2 linked regions of the Drosophila melanogaster genome follow. The protein of the gene in region 1 purifies or fractionates together with the protein of each later gene. This does not show direct contact. Each region holds a gene or a part of one and is shown in the gene's direction. Other genes may lie near its edges.

Region 1 (3,931 bases):
GCTTGCGACATTTTTACATACGGTTTGTGTTAAATTACGTGACAGTGTTGCTGCTGTAAATTCAACCGATGTATCGATAACATGCCATCGAATTCTATCGATGGTCGCTTGCATTTGAATATTAATTATATTTTTACTTTTGAATCATCTGTGAAATGACTGAATTGTAAAAAATGACTTTGTCTGGGTCATAAATAACAAATTTTTGAAAAGAATAAGTTTAATATTTAGCTTTGTATATTTAACGATTAATTAATCGGGCAGTAAATAGTACCATGAATGTATCTGAAAATATATGCGTGGAACCTTTAAAAAATAGACTATATTGAAGGGCGTTCATATATTACAAATACATATAAGTAAAATTAAGAAGCAAATCCTTTTAAAAGTTTACTACTTCACCCGTTATATACATATAAAATTATTTCTGATCTTTATTAAATATCGTTTTGACTAAAAGAAACGCATCGAACTGATCAATATCAAAATGGTTTTATCGATATGTCGATACATGTCTATCGTATGCAAGCGTGGATTTTACATGCATCTGTAGTGAAGCCATTTTTATTTGCATCGTGTATAGTACATTGGAATTTACTGCGATTGTTGTATTTTAAAATGCCCCGAAAGAAGTCCGAGGATTTTTACAGAACCCACGGATTTACCGCCAATTTGGAGAATGGCAAATACTCGGCCACCTGTCACTTCTGCGAAAAAGTACTCCAAAATACGGCGCTATCCCGGCTATCGTTACACAGGTAACCATACAAACATACACCAAACATTGTGTTTACATGCGTCAAGTAATTCTCATTAAATTGTAGGCAAACCTGCGATGCCCGGCGAAGTAGAAGCGCTGTAGTGTACACTTCTGCCGACGAGAAGGATCATGACGAGGCTCCTAGGATAAAGGTAATTCGATGCTTCCAATTTGGATACATTGGATGTATGTATATGTCTGGTGTAGGACGTCAGTGGACAAATGCACTTCAAAATAAATCCCAAAGATACTTTGCACACTATAATGTCAACCCCAAGTAATTTGACAAATATTCGGTTCGAACTTTGTCCGAATACAATATATAGTGCTTAATGATTTGACTTTTGAAATTACTAACCCATATCGTCTCATATGAACATTCATATGTAAATTAAATGTTACTTATATATCGCTAATGCTCTAAAATATATTTTTTATGCAGATCCAGAAGATTTCGGGCGACGATGATGGCGGCCTGGATAATGCCAACGAAGGCAAGGAGATCATTGTTAAGGTGAGTAGGTGAAAAATGCGTAAACTAAATCAAATACTTACATTATGGTTATTTTTCATTCCAGATACAACAAATTCTGGACGATGCTGACGAGGCTGAGGCGCCCAAGGAGCAACCCAGAGTGAAACGAGAAATTCGCAAAAGGAAACTGACCAAAACGGAAGAGTCTGGCGAGCAAAATTTGGAATTTGAAATTTCCAACGTTGAAATTAAAAATCCCGAATACTCTGAGTACCTGGACGAAAGCAAAGAAGTAAATATTCACAATTTGATAAGTATCTTAGACATTTTAACGATTATCGAACAGCATTACATATTGCAGCAAAACCCGGATGACTTAGCCAATGGATCGGCGACGATCATCGAGGCCAGGCCAAGAAATGGTTTAGCTGCATTGCGAGCGGAAAAGGCGCGAGCCGAGATCAGTCAGTTCCAGAGTAAGACCAAGTTTCTTAAAACGGAAACGGACAATCTAAAAGTAGAGCGCACACTGACTTTGCTTAAGATTCAGAAGCTTCGATTGGAAATCGACGCCCTACGCGATTAAAATGTATTTTAACTATAGATAACTTTTAAATGTCCGCATGGTGAACCCTTAATTTTTGTTAAGATGACGAAAATGTCTGTCTTGAATTCAACATAGATTTATTACATTTAACTTTGTAAAGGTGATTACAAAATACATTATTTTAAGCCTGATTACTCGAATCTTTTTATTAAATAATAATGTAATAATGCAATGCTTACAAGTGTTATTAAAATCGATGTAATCTAATGCTTACATACATAAATATTACATACATCAAAATTATTGAATAAATAAAAATACATAATAAATAAAACTAGAAATACTAGTACAATCGATAGTTCGCACTCTTCGACAACCCTACTGATACCCATTCGATAACTGACCCCAAGCAACCCTGTTCATCACATGATAGTCAGGGTGATATCGGGGAAGAGAAAAGGTTTTCTTTGCAGTCGTTCGTCATATGATTAAAAGTCCAGCGGAAAACTGAAAATGTTGAGAGTTTTCGTGATTTTCTCGCTGTTTATAGCGGCCAGTAAGTAGATCTACCATCTATAATCAAGTAAAATGCATGCGCAGCAAGTGGAAAGCGGTCACAAAGTGGATATTCTGTACTCATCGATTCCTCTTTGGGGGTGGTGACACCCAGAACTCGGGACTCCAAAGGGCTCCCCACATGCATGCGCAGAATCTTGGACAAAGGAGACGAATATGTTAGATTCTACAGAACTTATGAGCTACGTCTTCCTATTTTGCAGTCAATGCCTCTGGCGAATTCACCGTGCTGAACCGTCCCAAGGCAATCAGTTTCAAGGGCAACGATGCACTGGAAAGCCACTACGTGGGTGATGTACTCTACGCTTCCATGGGCAACGCCGTCAGCGGCGATACCAACTGGAACGGACTGACCATCAACGATCCCTTCAACCTGGCCAAGGGCGTCATTCTGGTGCATGTCCAGGGCATTGGTCACGTGACCACCGCCGGCAACGTCAAGACCTACGAGCTGACAGGCTCCGGAACGGACGCCTCTCTGAACGCCCTGGCCGCCGAACTGGAGGCAGCCAACGAGCCCGTCTGCGATATTAACTTTGAGCAGTTCGACGATGGCGTAAGTGGTGTCTTAAAGGGGAAAAGCACATTTCGTTAGTCAGTTAGCTAATTTGTCAAACCGCAGAAAGCATGATCTTCATCTGAAAGTTCGTTTAAAGAAGCTTCTCTACAATCCGCTATAACTTCCCACAAATATGATAGATAGTTATTAAACCTTAAAAATTAATTAATCACATGATTTATAGAGTGAATCATAGTGCCTTCCCCCTTACGCATATAACGTAGAGACCAATGTATATTTAACCACATATTTTTTATAGGTTCAAGCCTGGAAGTCCTGCTTTGGTGATTTCGAGGCCCCAGCCGCCAAGCCCACCAAGCACCTGAACCCCTCTCTGCACACCGCTGACAAGCAGTTCCTCCAGGAGGTTGGATTCATCAACAGTGCCGCCGATCATCTGGCTGAGATGGCCAAGCCCTCGAATGTCCTGATGCTGCGCGTTTCCGTCGATGGAGTGGCCAAGGCTCATGGCGAGAAGTCCGTGGCCGTGGAGGAGGCCAACAAATTGCTGTCGGCCGCTATCAGCCGCCTGCTTGCTGCCTCCCAGAAGTCCAGCGACTCGGTTCTGTTTGTCCAGACCACGGAGAAGGACGTGGCAGCATCGCGTGCCAAGCGTGATACCATTGCCGCTTCCACCACCAATCCCTACAACCTGGCCGTCTACTACGGCAGCGACTACCCGGTGATCTTCAACATCATCCTGTGGTTCATGGTCGTCTTCGGACTGTCTCTGCTGGCTATCTGCTACGCCATCGCTGCCATGGATCCCGGCAGGGACTCCATCATTTACCGCATGACCTCTACCCGCATCAAGAAGGACAACTAAGGAGGAGCAGGAGGAGTTGAGAAGCGAGAGGAGCAGGAGGAGCGAGAGGAGCTTGCGTTACGCTTTGTTATTTCGTCCCCCTTTTAAGTTGAAATTTGCCAACTTCTACTTCAATCCAACAGCGGATAAATTGTGTGTTTGTGTGTGTGCGGACAGCTGTCGCAGTAGTTGGTTTTATTATCTATAAA
Region 2 (3,931 bases), on another chromosome or scaffold:
AATACCGTTTATTCTAAAACACAATTTCCAAAATACGATATTAGAGAGTTTTATACAATTTCTTACCAGTGTTAATTACCATTTTCAACGGACATTGTATAGGAAAATTGGCGGTTTCGCGAAGCTGCGTAGTAACCATTCTAAATAAAAAATGATTTTCCACACTTGATAGCATCTGACAATAGTCTACATGTGAAGAGGTAAAATTCGTCACGTATGAACCTCTCTTAAATGTCAAAATGTAAATGCCCTTCAGGTCCTCAACATCTTGGGTTAATATGAACTCTGCGTATATTGAACCAGTGGGGTGGGAAGTTTCATTTAAGTAGCAGCTTACGTTTCTCACCAATTCTGGCATATAATTGAGGCACTCAATTTTCGTCATAAAAACTTCTTTCTATACGTTGAGATAGGTTAATGTAGTAGGACTTACATATATGATTCTATACTACTGACCTCTGCACGAACACTGCTCAAGATTAGGGTCCCCAGAATCAGGTCAACCAATATAAAAAGCTTTTTGACGTTCATACTAGTGGATAACTAATTGAAGACTAAAATCTAATGCATTTCAAACGCACGTAGGTGTGTATATTTTAAAATAAATGGGTTTTTAATGTGCTCAATTAGTGTATTACCTAATTTGTAATTGCTTATTTTTGTTGATAGAACATTAATATCGGTAAATTATTTGGACTTTTCAAGTTGGAGATGCGCAAAGTACTAATAGTATAAAATAATACTATAAAATTATTATATTATAATATATTATAATATTATATTATAATAATTAATACGGATTAGAGTGGGAGATCTGAAACAAATTTGCACGAATATGAAGCATTTAGAATCAGCTTAATAATAGTTTTCTAGTAATAACATATTGAAATAATTTGTATTCTTAAAAAAGAAAAACGGGTTTAAGATGAGTGATGATTTAGCTAGAACTTATACGTTTTCTTTATTTTACTGCGAACGCGATTTTACTGAATATAATTTCTATCAAAGCCCTTGAAGTAATTATCTTGATACCTATTAATTCTTCTTTAAATGGGCTATCCATACTATTACGCATTTATATTTAATTTATTTTTGATTTCTATGACTAATTTCTTGGTTAGATTCAGGACGATTTCATCATATTTTGAATAAGTGGTGCGAAATTACTTTTTTATTGGTCCATTCGACCAGTCTAGCATACAAAATATTTTCGTTAATAACATTGCATAAATTTATAGCTCTAATATATTTTATAATGACTTATTTATTTTGCAGAAACTTGTTTCAAAAAATTAACGTTTGGTGATTCGTTTGGTGATTACGTTACGTGATTCCGGGCAGGCCTTACGTTTCACGTAGCTCTGTTCCGTTTACCAAATCGTTTCGCGAGCTTTTTGGACCGGCGCATTTGTAATTCCATCTCTCTATTTTTCCTCCCCCGCATTTCTTAATCGTTATCGCTCTCTCTCTGCGAATTTTGCAAAACAACGGCCGGCCGTTTGGAAAAGTCGGAAGAAAGTCAGTTGGCAAGTGGAAATCACCGGAAAAACTACACAGCGCGGCAGAAGGAAAAACGTGAAAATCGCAGACGCTTACACCGCAGACGGGAAATAAAAAAAGCCAAAAAGCAGCCGCGAAAGGCAGCGCAGTCGACGTTGGCAGCGCCGAGGGCTGATAACAATAGTTAATAACAATAACAAAGCGGAATAAAAACAAAAGAGAGAAGCACATGAAAAGATAATATGTAAAAACCGAAACAAACAAAAAATCGCGCGTTTAATTAACGGACATACGACGTGAGCAGCGCGGTCGACGCCGCAGTCGCAGTTGGCGTCGCAGTCGCCGTCGCGCATTGGTGTGTGTTTGTGTGAGTGTGCGTGAGTATCTGTGTGAGCTGGAGATATAAAACTGCAATTGATTGCAATTTCGGCGGCATTTGCAAAATAGCAAGCCGGCGAAGAACACAAAACCGAGAAATCGAGAGATCTGCAAATAAAATATACAAACAAATAAAAATATATTAGTAATAAACTTATACAAAAACACAACAAATATAAAATCAGCACAACAAAAACACAGCCAAACGGTAAAGATACGAAAAAGCTAACTCATTTGTGTATCTAAAATAATAACAAAAAGCAATTCGAAAATGAGTACTTCTTGCATTTGTGTGAGCGCAGCTGTTGATGAAAGTGAAGGAAAATCATTCACATTTTCTACGGGAAAATGGGAAAGACAACAACAGCCACACACTCACACAGCTGCAAAAGAAAAGAGAGCACAGAGAGCTAAACTCAGACGACGCCAAGTTCTTTTTTTCCGCTTTTCCGTTGTTTGCATTTTATTTTTGTTTTCTGTTGTGTTTTTCGCACACAGGGAGGAAAACTCAGCCACTTATAAGTTTAAATTTTGAGTGTACACATCTTGTTTCAGTTGTTGTTTGTTTAAGAACATAAACTTTTTATAAATTCAAATGTTAAACGTAGATATTTCGACGTAGCTTTAAAGGACTAAATACTCTTTATATTGCTTTTTTTGCCCAGAATATAAAAGAATATATTTAACTTTACATAAGCTTATATTTCCAACAACGCTAAAAATACACTTTTTAACTTGTTGATTTCTTGACCATTTTTGTTAAAGTTTTTCGGAATTTCACATTTTTTTTATAAATGTAAGTTCGAATATTTATTTCTTTTTCCTTATTACACCTTATTACACTTTATTAAAGTTCATTCAAGTTCATTAACAAAGACAATATTATTTTTAATTAAAGTCTAAATTTGAACGATTTTTTTTGCATTTGTGGAATAATGTTGAAAACAATAAGATTGTTGTAAATAATCAATAAAGAATTGATCCAAGACAGGTCAATTTTTTTCTGTGTACATTTACGAGTCGAGTTCACAAGCCAGACAGCACTGTTGCTTTTGCTGCTGTTTTTGTGAGAGTATCTCATAGCTAGCTACCTAGCTGCAAAAAGTATCTAGATACTTTTGCCGAGTTTCCTACTCTTTTATCCGGCTGTCTGTTTATTGAGACGCGTCTTCAAGTTTTTTCCCCACATCATTGCATTCTTTAATTCCCTACATTTTAAATAGGAGCAGTTTCAGATGTTTCGAAATATTTATAAATATTTTCTTGCACTCGCATGTTGGCCGGCAGTCAAAGTAACACTCAACTTCAACTTCTGTCTGCGCACTCTAATTGAGTTAGTCTGGCATTTCAATGGGAGCAGCAAGCACACGCACCGCTTCTGGTCGAAAGGGGCGGAATGGTATTAGCAAGAAATGGGGGCGGGGCCGGGCTCCAGACTCAGCGGGTGGGAAATCCGGGGGGTGGCTCTTGCAGGGGTCACAGCCTAACCCGTGTGTTAAATTATGCAAAACGCTAAGGGAATGTCGAAGCAATAAGTGCAGAAATGTTTACATTCTCTGGCCAACGAAGAATATTATTCATATTTGCGTTTGGGTTAAATAAATAGGAAATTTGGTCATTTTGGTTAATTATTTTCCTAAATAATAATTAATTTTTGTTTCTTGTTATTTCTAATTATGCAATATTTATTTAGTTCTTTGAAGTAATGATTAAACCCAATCTTAATTTTAATTTCCCTCTACTTCCTTCTGATTGAGTGTATTAAATATTTCACTGAAATATTTTTCTTTTTCATTAATGCAAATGGCTTTTGAACTATTCCACACACCCACTGGTGTCTCATTTATATCTTCGCAAAGCACATTCATAAAAAAGGAACCTACAATTTCGCTCCAAACAACTTTTTTATCATAGCCCGGCTTACACGTACGAACACATATATTTTTGGGTATTTTAAAGGGTTAACACACGCTATACGACTGCCAAACTTTTCCACGTTGGCTTTTTGTGCTGGTCCTTTTATTTTGTGAAAATGTTTGGCATTTTTTGTATT

What was found.
Region 2: the proteins of ATP6AP2 (region 1) and fz2 purify together in Drosophila melanogaster (affinity purification with western blotting; one study listed by BioGRID). This does not show direct contact.

The regions. Positions count from the first base shown.
Region 1 is NT_033777.3:9,258,430-9,262,360, forward strand, and holds the start of ATP6AP2 (ATPase H+ transporting accessory protein 2), read left to right. Parts: upstream 1-2,208; 5' UTR 2,209-2,295; coding exon 2,296-2,338; intron 2,339-2,561; coding exon 2,562-2,914; intron 2,915-3,176; coding exon 3,177-3,743; 3' UTR 3,744-3,931. Other genes in the region: Ibf2 (insulator binding factor 2), read right to left, coding at 1-11; Ibf1 (insulator binding factor 1), read left to right, coding at 619-758, 825-912, 1,203-1,274, 1,339-1,527, 1,582-1,821. UniProt on the Drosophila melanogaster protein: Multifunctional protein which functions as a transmembrane receptor in the planar cell polarity (PCP) and is involved in the assembly of the proton-transporting vacuolar (V)-ATPase protein pump.
Region 2 is NT_037436.4:19,232,960-19,236,890, reverse strand, and holds the start of fz2 (frizzled 2), read left to right. Parts: upstream 1-1,517; 5' UTR 1,518-1,877; exon of another isoform or gene 1,878-2,086; intron 2,087-3,931. Other genes in the region: CG33647 (uncharacterized protein), read right to left, coding at 1-13, 80-397, 457-531. UniProt on the Drosophila melanogaster protein: Receptor for Wnt proteins.